3 linked regions of the Macaca fascicularis genome follow. The protein of the gene in region 3 interacts with the protein of the main gene of each other region in a pairwise test. Links are inferred from orthologs where the notes say so. Each region holds a gene or a part of one and is shown on either strand. Other genes may lie near its edges.

Evidence for each region.
Region 1: the proteins of EGFR (region 3) and GABARAPL2 interact in binary tests that used the Homo sapiens proteins (3 or more experiments, as listed by UniProt). The link is inferred for Macaca fascicularis from reciprocal best matches to the Homo sapiens genes EGFR and GABARAPL2.
Region 2: the proteins of EGFR (region 3) and SH2D3A interact in binary tests that used the Homo sapiens proteins (3 or more experiments, as listed by UniProt). The link is inferred for Macaca fascicularis from reciprocal best matches to the Homo sapiens genes EGFR and SH2D3A.

Annotation. Positions count from the first base shown.
Region 1 is NC_088394.1:71,416,070-71,420,314, forward strand, and holds the start of GABARAPL2 (gamma-aminobutyric acid receptor-associated protein-like 2), read left to right. Parts: upstream 1-1,411; 5' UTR 1,412-1,520; coding exon 1,521-1,554; intron 1,555-1,884; coding exon 1,885-1,940; intron 1,941-3,074; coding exon 3,075-3,247; intron 3,248-4,245. UniProt on the Homo sapiens protein: Ubiquitin-like modifier involved in intra-Golgi traffic. Modulates intra-Golgi transport through coupling between NSF activity and SNAREs activation. It first stimulates the ATPase activity of NSF which in turn stimulates the association with GOSR1.
Region 2 is NC_088393.1:7,530,449-7,534,679, reverse strand, and holds the start of SH2D3A (SH2 domain-containing protein 3A), read left to right. Parts: upstream 1-1,397; 5' UTR 1,398-1,523; intron 1,524-4,231.
Region 3 is NC_088377.1:75,246,003-75,249,562, forward strand, and holds part of EGFR (epidermal growth factor receptor), read right to left. Parts: intron 3,317-3,560; coding exon 3,200-3,316; intron 2,618-3,199; coding exon 2,491-2,617; intron 2,393-2,490; coding exon 2,319-2,392; intron 1,492-2,318; coding exon 1,401-1,491; intron 1-1,400. UniProt on the Homo sapiens protein: Receptor tyrosine kinase binding ligands of the EGF family and activating several signaling cascades to convert extracellular cues into appropriate cellular responses.

The DNA of each region.
Region 1 (4,245 bases), on a different chromosome or scaffold from region 3:
ATGAAGCTAGATTCCACAGCATCAATCAGGAATTTCCAGTGTAGGAAATGATGAACTACCATGTTCAAACATACAGGCTTTACAGGTGCATCAGAATCACAAGCACGTGGCAGAGTTCATGTGTCCAATTAAGTGAACATTCTTGCTACATGTTCAGCAGCTTATAAACAGATGGTGACCCACACCAGACTGCCTTGATGACTCTGCTTGGAAAAAAGGCATTACGTCACTGACTGGAGAATCTCAAAGCATATGTCCGGGCAGGTGACACACACATAGCTCAGGCTGTGATTGCTAAACCACTTCCACAGCCAAACGAGGAAAACCATCTCATGACCAGCTCTCAGGGGAATTCTCCGAATCTGACAGTCACCTCTAACTCCTCTGCCAGCTAAGATTAAGGGGTCTGTGATCAGTGATGTTACACTCCTCAAATGTGCATTTTTTTTTTTTTTTTGAGGCAGAGTCTTGCTCTGTTGCCCAGGCTGGAGTGCAGTGGTGTGATCTTGGCTCACTGCAACCTCCACCTCTGTGGTTCAAATGATTCTCCTGCCTCAGCCTCCCGAGGAGCTGGGACTACAGGCGCCCGCCACCATGCCTGGCTAATTTTTGGGGTTTCACTACGTTGGCCAGGTTGGTCTCCAATTCCTGACCTCAGGTGATCCACCCGCGTCGGCCTCCCAAAGTGTTGGGATTACAGGCGTGAGCTACCGCGCCCCGCCTCAAATGTGCATTTGTGATACCTTTTCGTAAATGTTTATTCAAATATTTATTCACGAATAAAGCAAGAAAATGGGATTTGTTTAAATTCAATTTCTAGGTCCAAGGCAACCTATTACAGCTGTCCCTAATACTGTACCTCCGGGTTGTCCTCAGTGCCACCTCCTACAGTGTCCTCAAACACCACCCCTACCATACTGAGCCCCCAATCTGTCACCCCTCCGAGCAATACTCCCCAACTTTCAACGCCCTAAACAGCTCCTTTGTTATCGCCAAGCACTAGAAACCCCTCATGTCATTCTTACCCCTAAAGACCGTTCTTGTCACCAATTCCCCATTCAGACTTTCCCTATGAACCGCTCTAAGCGCTCTCAACTATCAGCCACACCCCCAAACAGCCCTCAGTAAGAGCCCTACACTATCAGCCAGACGTTTCCCGCCACCAACGCTCCCGAGACCCCACTCCTGTCACCAGTTCCCCGAACATTCCTTCCTGGGGTCGCAGATACTGCTCACAGACGTCCCCGTAACCAACTTCATCACCTCCGTAGCCCAGGATCCTCCGAGGGGGCCATCCGCTGCCCCGCCCCTTTACTTGCGGCCCGGCCCCTTGGCGCGGCGTCCTGGCAAATAGCGCCGGAAGCCCCGCCCCCGACCGGTTGCTAGGCTCCGACAGCCGGAAGTCCCGCCTGCCGTGTAGTCGCCGCCGTCGCTACCGCTGCTGCCGTCGTTGTTGTTGTGGTCGGTGCGCTGAGCTCCGCGGCTCCGAGAGCCGGTTCCGTCCCTTTCCCGCCGCCGCCATGAAGTGGATGTTCAAGGAGGACCACTCGCTGGGTAAGCACTTGGCCGTCGGCCGGGCTGCTGGTGGCCGGGGCGGCGGGTGGGCCCCCTCCCCCACTGTGGCGGCCCTGGTTCGGGTGGAGTGGGGCGGATGCCCTGCTCCGGTCTCGAGTCGCCCAGGCCCTGGTGCCTGGGGCAGCCGCCTCCTGACCCCGTGTCACCCTCCGCGGGCCCTGCTGGGAGCAGTAGGGGACAGGACCGCGGCCGCAGGGACGCCGGAACCAGGGCCTGGGCTGTGCGCAGGGCGCAGGAGGAGGAGGGCCGGGGGCCGGAAACCGACCGGGGGGCAGGCGCAGCCGTCAGCCCTGTTTGTTTCTCCCACAGAACACAGATGCGTGGAGTCCGCGAAGATTCGAGCGAAATATCCCGACAGGGTTCCGGTGAGTGTTTGGACTCTCCGCCCCCTCACCTCGCTGTCACCTCTGTCGTCTGGGACCCGTAATAGGCCCCAGGCCATTCAACAGTTGACAAGTTGAGATTCCAGTCCCAGTTAATAGTAACTGACAGGCCAGACCGGGATGAGGCGTTCCAGGGCCGGGGCGTGAGGGGCTCGGGCTGGTGCTGTTCAGGGTGCCTCAGTGCTGAATCTCCCGATCTAGGCCAGCGAGCCGTCTGCAGCCTCGGGGCTCCCTGGCCAATTATGTAAGGAACGATGTTCTAGGACAGGGCAACAGGTCACTGCCACTTTTGGGAATGGTGGTGGAGCGAGACTGTCACTTTGGTCTTGGAAGTGGTACTTGAGTCTCAGGACGTTCATCTTTTACTTTGAGCCTCCATCTTTACCTAACTTCTAGCTCCGTTACCTCACCTTGACCCTGTCATCCTTGCCTGACCAAAATAATGTGAAAAGCGCTGAAAACCCTTCTGCCATGTTTTCTTCTTAGTCAATAATAAATATGATGTTATATTTCTTTCATGGTTGGGGAGACAGTTTTGTAATCCTTATTAATTTTTAATGGACATTAAGGCCTGTTATTGTAGCTCTTTGCTTGTGAATAATTCGTCTCAGGAAAGGAGTAGGAGGGACGGATTTGAAACTTGTTCAGAGAGGAGCAACAGGCCAAATGAAGAGCTTGGTTCTTGACTGGCTGAAATTCCAGGCATTCCCATTAGTCCATCCGTTCTTGTCTCCTGTGTTCCTTGGGAACACAGTAGTGTTTCTTGTAGTGTGAAGGTGGATCCATTCTGGGGTCCTAGAGTAACGGACCATGGATGAAATCCTCCCCAGATACTCTTAGGTCTGCCCAGATAAAATGTGGAAAAGCTTAGTAGTAAGGGCTGCATTTCTCTTACATAATTGACCACAGAAAAGCACTTACCGTTTCCCTATAACACATTTATATCAATTCTTAACCTCCAGAGCATGTGGTTTATTAAGCCAAAGACATATTTTCTCCTGCTATGCAGTTTCCCACCCACCTCCTTGCCCACACTCTGTTCGTCAGCTCCTCAGCCATGTGAGGCCAGAGCCTCCCTTTAGGAAACGCAGTCCTGACCTCTCTTTACTTTCCCAGGTGATTGTGGAAAAGGTCTCAGGCTCTCAGATTGTTGACATTGACAAACGGAAGTACTTGGTTCCATCTGATATCACTGTGGCTCAGTTCATGTGGATCATCAGGAAAAGGATCCAGCTTCCTTCTGAAAAGGCGATCTTCCTGTTTGTGGATAAGACAGTCCCACAGTCCAGGTGAGAGGTGTTTACTAGATGGGCCCTCTGGTATTAGACATCTGGTTGGCTGCTTACGAAACTCCAAACCTTTGGAAGTCTGAAAACTCTTAGGGGTCCTGACTAGAAATCTGTATTTTGTGCTCCCTGACATCAGGGGCTCCAGGAAAATAATGGCTGCAATACATAAGAGTGCATTTTGGATTCAGAAAATAGAACAAGGCCTGGACTTTAAAAAAAATGATGAAACTCAGCCTAACATCTCCAAGAATCTTTTAAAACAGTTGAGAACTTATTTAGGCTTAAGCTATAGGTAGAACTGAGGCCTGAAATGAGGTTTTCTTTCCCGAAGGCAGTCCTGGCACGCTCCTCCACTGGGAGCCTGTGGGCCCTGCTGAGGCTCACTCAGTTAATCATCCAGTTTGCTTGCTTCCAAACTTGGTCAACTCTTTGACATTGTAAGTGTCTATAGCTGCCTGATCCTCAAGTCTGACAAAATGACTGCTGCACAGTAAAGGGCTCTGAAGTCTTTTTATAGACTCATACCTCCCTTGGTAGCACCTGCTTTGACTGTCAGACTATTGTGCTGCCTGGAAGCAGTCTTTGGGACTGTAACTTGTGGCCTGAATGTAGGCAGAGGCATTAGAATTCCCCTTTTCTGTGTATTTGATAGCCCAGCTTTAGTCCCCTGTGGAAAGAGGAAAATGGAGGGGCTCCGTCTGACATCCTAGTCAGTCCTTTCCCATTACTGAGTGGGTAGTTTTAGGCCCTGATCCAGATTCTGGCCCCCACCTCTCCCCTGAGTGTGAGTTCCTGGCCACATCTTATCTTAGTGACCCAATGTAGGTTTCATATACCACCCCCAGAAGTAATACTTCTAAAAGTGAAGGCTTTCAGAAGCCCTGGAAACTAGCCCAATGTTGCCCACATAGGTTCCTGTTGAAAATCCTTGAAGTCTCCAGAAGAGGCCTCTGCCAAATTCCAGTTACTTACTTCTGTTAAAGGTGGAAAGCTCTGGC
Region 2 (4,231 bases), on a different chromosome or scaffold from region 3:
TTTGAGACCACTCTGGCCAACATGGTGAAACCCCGTCTCTACCAAAAATACAAAAATTAGCCTGTAATCCCAGCTACTCGGGAGGCTGCAGCAGGAGAATCGCTTGAACCTGGGAGGTGGAGGTTGCAGTGAGCTGAGATTGCTACCACTGCACTCCAGTCTGGGCAACGAGGGTGAAACTCCATCTCAAAAAGAAAAAAAAAAAAGCGAGTTGACAGAACAGCCCTGGTATACAGTAAGTGCTCAATAAATGTTAGCTGCTGCTACTGCTTTTCAGACTGTGGTTACTGGCTCAAGCACAGTGGCTCATGTCTGTAATCCCAGCGCTCTGGGAGGCCAAGGCAGGAAGATCGCATGAGCCCAGGAGTTCCAGAGCCTGGGCAGCATACTAAGACCCCATCTCTACAAAAAAATAAAATAAAATTAGCTGAGCGTGGTGGTGTGCACCTTTAGCCTCAGTTGCTTGGAAGGCTAAAGCAGGAGAATCGCTTCAGCCCAGGAAGTTGAGGCTACGGTGAGCTATGATCAGGCCACTGCGCTCTAGTCTGGGCAATATAGCAAGACACCGTCTCTACAAGACAAGACTGATGTTAATATGAGGAACTTATCAATAAACGTGGCCAAAGCGTCCTCTCTCTTGCACTAGGTCCCTGTCACCTTTTCTCTTGTTCATCTCCAGGCATCATGATGGAAGTCCCCCCTACCCTTCCTCCCACCTAGGAAACCACCTGAATGATTTGCCTTCCACCTCCCCCAAAGTCCCGCCCCCCTCCAGCGTGCTGTCACTGAAGGAAGCTGTCGCGTTTTCCCGGATATCTCTCCACAAAACCCGCCACCCAAATGGGGCTTCTTTCCGGAAAATCCAGGAGGGCGGTCTGGAGGAAGCGCACCCCTCCTTACGTCACAGCCGCCGCAGCTACCCCAGCCTGGCGTAAGAGCCCGAGGGAGTTGCCCTGCCCTGACCCAGAGCCTTGGCGGGGAAGGGAGAGAGATACCCCACCCCACCCCACCCTGGTACCAAAGGACCATGGGTGCTTGGGGCCGCCTGGGTGGAAGGGAGAGGCCGGGTTCTAAGGGGCGGGAACGTTGGGATGAAATTTGTTCTATTTCCTTAAGGGGCGGGGCTAAGAAGGAGGTGGTTGCGAGTGGGCGTAGTCACTCGGGTGGGCGTGGCTATGTACAAGGGGCGGGGCCATTGACAGGAAAAGATGCGCAGTGCTCCCCTAGTGGGCCGGTTCTATGGAGAAAGCAGTGCCACGCACAGGGGGCGTGGCTAGAAGCAAAAAAAATTGTTTCAAGGGGGCGGAGCAAGAGCCTGGGAAGTTAGTTTGAGGCGGGGCCTGCAGGGGGCGGGGCCTGCAGGAGCCGTGGTCAGGTAACTGGGCTGGGTTCCCACTAGGTGTGGTCTCGGAAGGCTGGGGCGGTGGCAACGTGGAGGGCGGGGGTGACAGCAGCCCCGAGCCCGCAGAGCCTCAGCTTCCGCCTGGTCCCAGCCTCGTGGGAGCCCCGCGGGTCCTGCCTAGGTGAGTGGAGCCCCAGGGCAGATCCAGAACCAAGATTATTGGGATGGGGCGTCCTCTCTTTCCAGGTGGGGCCATCGGCTCGCAGGGAGGATCTGGGGTAGAAGAGGTCGCCTCGCGAATGAGTGGGTCGCTGTGCATTACGCGTGTCGGTGTGCCCGGGCTCACCTGGGCGTGATCCCCTAAGTGTATTTCCTGTGCAGCACAGAAAGCCATTGTTTCCATTTTTGCCTGAGTGATCCTTTTAAACGGCGAATCAGATCGGGCTCCTCCTTTACTTAAAACCCTTGGGCAGTAGAGATTAAAATTCAAAGTCTACCAGTTTCTGCCCGGGCTCTCCTCCTGATCTCTCTAACATCGCTGCCCTCCTATCTGCTCCTTGCTCATGGTATTCCGGCTACACCATGCGCCTTGATGATGTAAAATATAAAAAGCAAGTCCACCTCACCTCCAGGCCTTTGCCCTTACTGTACCCCTCACCCAGACGACTCCTCGAAATCTTTGCCTAACTGCCTCCTTCTGTACTGAGGTCTCAGTTCCAATGTCACTTTATAGGAGAGGTTGTCCTGTCCAGCCTCCTTTATCACATCTCCCTGGCTTATCACTTTCATTGATAACTCTTAGAAATGGTCTGTCTTCTCCATTCATCTCGCGCTTGTTTGTGGTCTCTCTTGCCCAGCTGACTGCAAGCTCTGGAGGGTAGGGCGGTGCCAGGCTTTAATCTCCTTAGTCACTGTATCTCTAGGTTCTAGAACAGAGCCTGGTGCACAGCAAGTGCTCCAGCAATGTTCGTCCAATGTCAAAAGCGAGTCCTGCATACATCTGTGTTTGTATCGCCTGTGCTGGTGGTTCCCACCCTCCACATCCCTCCCCACACGTGGACACATGTTTATGATCCAACTGGAACATGAATAATTCCCTCTCCTCTCCCCATGCTTGGTCTGATGCCTGACTCTGCCCCCTTCTCTTCTGTGCCCGAATAAATGATCCCAAAGGACTCAGAGGCAGGAGAATGACTTAGTTGGCCTTTGGCTGACCTATGGCCACCCTGTGTCCCCAAACTAACCAGAACCTTGCCATTGACTCAACTTCACTCTCACTAAGGGAGACACAAGGCAGGAACTTGGGGTTGGGAGACTCTGAGACCGAGGCTAGCCCTGGTCCAGGTGACAAACAGGAAGTGCAAAGGCATTCCAAAGACACACCTGGCTTCAGGTATGCGGCACGGGCAGCTGGCTCCCTGCCCAGAGCTCCTCCCCTAAAGCCACCTCGGGCTAGTCTGGGAACTTCCTGCTGACTCAGGAGACAGAAATTTCTCTGCAGACCCTACCAGACCCAGAAGACTTTGCAGGGCTGCGGGGAGAGCTTGCAGGAGAGTAAGAAGCAGATTATCTCCTTCTGGACCATTCAGAGAAATCTCCCCCACCAGACAGACACCTGAGACACACTGGCCCTGAGGCCTGTGAGATTATCAGGAAACTACCAAAATGTCTGAGATCTAAATTCGATCATCATGATGACCAAATATATGGGCTCTGAAATACAAGGACCTGCAAAGGCAACATTGCTGTTTGCTGACATTGCTACAAAATGTGACCTTCTAAAAATCTTAACCCTGGGTTACATTTTTTTTCCCCCCCGAGATGGAGTCTTGCTTGGTCGCCCAGGTTGGAGTACAGTGGTGTGATCTCGGCTTACTGCAGGATCCACCTCCCGGGTTCAAGCGATTCTCTCGCCTCAGCCTCCTGAGTAGCTGGGACTACCACCATGCCTGGCTAATTTTTGTATTTTTAGTAGAGACGGGGTTTCACTGTGTTGGCCAGGCTGGTCTCAAACTCTTGACCTCGGATGATCCACCCGCCTCTACCTCCCAAAGTGCTAGGATTACAAGAGTGAGCCACTGCGCCTGGCCCCGCCAGTGCTGCATTCTAAAGCAAAAAATAGGGGTTAGATTTGCACCTATCCTGAGAACCTCTGAGTGTGCGCATAGGTTGCCGAGAAGCCATGGACCTTTGTAAGTTAAATTCCCCCTGATTGGGATGTTTTTTCACCCAGTCACCTGGCACACTCCCCAGAATTCCTTCCAGACTTTACTCAATGAGACCTTCCCTGGCCACATAGTCAAAAATGTTCACCCAGCCTGGGCAACATGGCAAGACCCGATATATATATATATATATATATATTTAAAAATATATATATATATATATTTTTTAAAAAATATATATATATATATATAAATTAGCCAGGCATGGCCAGGCACAGTGGCTCATGCTGGTAATCCTAGTGCTTTGGGAGGCTGAGGCAGCTGGATCACCTGAGGTCAGGAGTTCGAGAGCAGCCTGGCCAACATGGAGAAACCCCATCTCTACTACTACAGGCTCAAGCCTGTAATCCCAGCACTTTGGGAGGCCGAGACGGGCCGATCACGAGGTCAGGAGATCGAGACCATCCTGGCTAACACGGTGAAACCCCCGTCTCTACTAAAAAAATACAAAAAACTAGCCAGGCGAGGTGGCAGGCGCCTGTAGTCCCAGCTACTCGGGAGGCTGAGGCAGGAGAATGGCGTAAACCTGGGAGGTGGAGCTTGCAGTGAGCTGAGATCCGACCACTGCACTTCAGCCTGGGTGACAGAGTGAGACTCCATCTCAAAAAAAAAAAAAAAAGGCCAGGCACGGTGGCTCAAGCCTGTAATCCCAGCACTTTGGGAG
Region 3 (3,560 bases):
GCTGGGAGGGCTGGGCTGGTTTGGGGAGGGAGTAAAAGGCCAGAGTGCACCCTGTGGAGGAGCTGTCTGTAATTGAGAAGGAGCCACAGGAAAGAGATCTGCATTTGCAGGAAGCTCTCATCTGACCCCAGGCTGGGGACTGGGCCAGCTGAGAGCACTGGATGAAAAGACTGATGTTCAGATGTTGGATGGCAGGGGGTTAGAGTATCATCCAGAGGCTTCTCCTCTCCCTGCTGCTCTTCTTTCCCCCATCTTTTTCCTTTCTCCTACACTGATGAGTGGTCTTGCATAGGAGCCTGTAACCAATACCATTAGGAATTCTCCCCCACATATGCCCAGGGAGGCCAGACACCAGGGAAGAGCCAGATGGTCCTTGCAGGGCAGGCCTGGAGCTTCAGTGAGTCATGACCTGGAACCTGTGGCCACCCTGCCTCAGTAGGAGCTGGAATCACCAGACTTCTCATTAAATGTGAAAAGTAAGTAACCCTTATCTTGTTTAAATCCCTACAACTAAGCCAACTGGCTCATACCAGCCATCCAAGAAACTTGCTCTAAATCTCTTGTTTTTATAAGAATCTCAGGCAAAGAAGGTATTCCAGAGAATTCAGAGCAAAAAGGCTTTTCTGGGAAGCAATGGTAGCCACATATTTAGTATCAGAGATTCAGAGCCAAGGGAGTTTATGGGAGGCAATGCATATTTCATGCACTCTTACTCTCTTTAATGTTGCACAGTATTATCTAGTGCTTTAGGAGTCAAGTAGGGGCAGCAGTTCTCATAAGGGGGCTGCTTCCAAGGCTGGTTTTACTAAGAGATTCCCATCTCCTCCTCCATACCACTAAACTGATGATTACCATTACCATATTAAAGATGCTTGTGTGTGAGCACCTGCAAGTCTATTCCACTGTCAAAGCTGAAAATGTGGAAATTCTTAAAGAGTGGTGCTAAAAAGTCTATCTGGTCCCCGTGATAAGATGTGCATAACCTCAACTGCATCCTGAGAAAACACCAGCCGAACTGAAATGGTTAGACAGTCTGCAAAGTACCTGAACAACACGTTTTATAAGAGTCAAGGCCATGAAAGACAAGGAAAGACATAGGAGCTATTACAGGTTAGAATGGACTGAAAAGATCTGACAACTAAGTGCAATGTGGGATCTGGAGTGGACACAGAAGCATAAGCACTGGCGAATGCTGAGAAGTCTGTGGTTTAGCAGACAGCCTGTGCCAGTGGTCGTTCAGTCTTGATCCTTGTGCCTGCTCATGTGAGATAGCATTCGGGAATGCCGGCGAGAGATACAGGAGCTCTGTGCCCTATCTTAGCAACTCTCCTGTTAAGCCTAATTTCCAACTAAAAAGGCAAAATGTAATCTACCAGGCTCTTTGGCTGTGGTCAACTTACTGTTGCTTGGTCCTGCCACGTATGATTTCTAGGTTCTCAAAAGCATGGAGGTCCGTCCTGTTTTCAGGCCAAGCCTGAATCAGCAAAAACCCTGTAAGGCAGAGGAGACTCAGACACACACCACACAGGAGTTTCTTTTTTGTATGAGACATTACTCTAGACTCTCAGGGACTTTGTATTATAGGAACAGTGAGTGGGAAAATTGGATTTGCTTTCTTTTTCGTTATCATCTTCTCTGAGTGTACATGCGAATGGGCGGATGCAGGCCAGCCAGAGTTCACGGCTGCCTCCCGCCTCCCCCAGCGATTCCCCATGTCTCCCGCCGCCCCTCTGGCTGTGGCCCTGGGACCCCTGCTGCGCAGGGTATCTGATTACCCCCAAGAGGCTCCTGCTGCGATTATCTGCCAATTATGGATCTGGTATCACATACAAGGAGCTTTACAGATTTTCCTTATTTGATTCCAACCCTAAAACAGTTGTGTTATATAAGTCTAATTTTCCCATTTTAGAGAGGAAGGAAGCGGAGCTCAGGTGGCAGTCATGGACCCGAGGCTTGCCCGTGGCCCCACAGGGCTCTGGCATCCAGTTTCAAAAGCCTGAGGCCCAGGCTGCCCCTCGCCTACCCCTGTCCTCTCCCTCTACCCGCAGGGGTTATGGGCCACCAAGGCAGCTGGCTGGGGCCGGGTAGGAGGGAGAAAGCGTGTTCACATGCGCAGTGAATGACCTAAGCCTGGGCTTAACGTGTCCCCTTTTGCCTGCAGGGAAACTGTACTTTTGAAAAGTATCAAAACATCAGCCATTAATGGTAAAATTTCAGAAGAAATGTTTTTATTCCAAGGGAGAAGGAAATATGTCGAAAAGTTCTCGCTCTAAAACACTGATTTCCCATTTATATTCATGCGATCATTCAGCTCAAACCTGTGATTTCCTTTACGGTTTTCAGAATATCCAGTTCCTGTGGATCCAGAGGCGGAGTGTGTGTGAAGGAGTCACTGAAACAAACAACAGGTGATTATTGATCTCCTGTCTCTACCAGTTAAAAAGGCAGACTTTGTTTTTCTCTATACAAGTAACTGAACCTGTGACTCACCCCCTAAATGCCACCGGCAGGATGTGGAGATCGCCACTGATGGAGGTGCAGTTTTTGAAGTGTTTAATATTTGTAGCATTTATGGAGAGTGTGTCTTTAAATTCACCAATACCTATTCCATTACACACTGCAGAGATAAGAGAGACGTGTATTCCGTTCACATTGGTGGATTAAGAATAGCTAGGGATCCACAGGCAGAGGGAAGCAGGAAGGAATTCCAGTCGCGGGAACTGCCACTGCCATATCAGCCTTCATTCACTCAACAAACACTGACGGGGCTGGGGAGGGTGCGGGGGGCAGGGGGACACGAGGACCTATAGCACACTTTGGGGCTACGGCGGTATAGGAGATGCCATCCCTGTCACTGCACACCGACCTTGCATTCTCCTCATTATTTCCCCTGGGCCGCATGGAGCTGGACTGCTTCCAGCTCTGCCTTCCCTGGATTCTCCCCAGGGCTGGGCATCTGGCAGCTGCTGAGGGGCTGGCTCTGTGCACTGTTCTCGTCGGAGCCCCCCACCCTATCACAACCTTCAGTGCCTTCCCATTGCCTAACCTGGCTTTGCAGCTTTATCTTCTATTTTAAAGAAATGATATTTATAGTTGTTTTTTAATGAGAAGAAGAAGTAGTGTTCATTTGGAGGTGGCATGAAAGCCCAGCCTCAGCAGCTGAGAACAAGCCTCATCCGCACACCAGCGGGCTTCCTACCTTTGCGGCAAGGCCCTTCGCACTTCTTACACTTGCGGACGCCGTCTTCCTCCATCTCATAGCTGTCGGCCCCGCAGGCTCGGACGCACGAGCCGTGATCTGTCACCACATAATTACCTGGGGAAGAGAGCATGAAAGGAAGGTGACGACGGTGGCGCCAGGTGCTCGGGCCTCACACAGACAGTCCAGGTCCTCCTCTCGAGTGCTGATGGAAAGGCTCCATCCTCCTTTGGCTTTATTTACTTTAAGGACAAAGAATGAAAGGTTGCAAATAGAAAAGGAATTCCGTTCAATAGTTTAATAAATTCTAGGCTGCAATGTGGATAATACAGGTGTTTCATCAGGGCAGGAAACAGGTGTC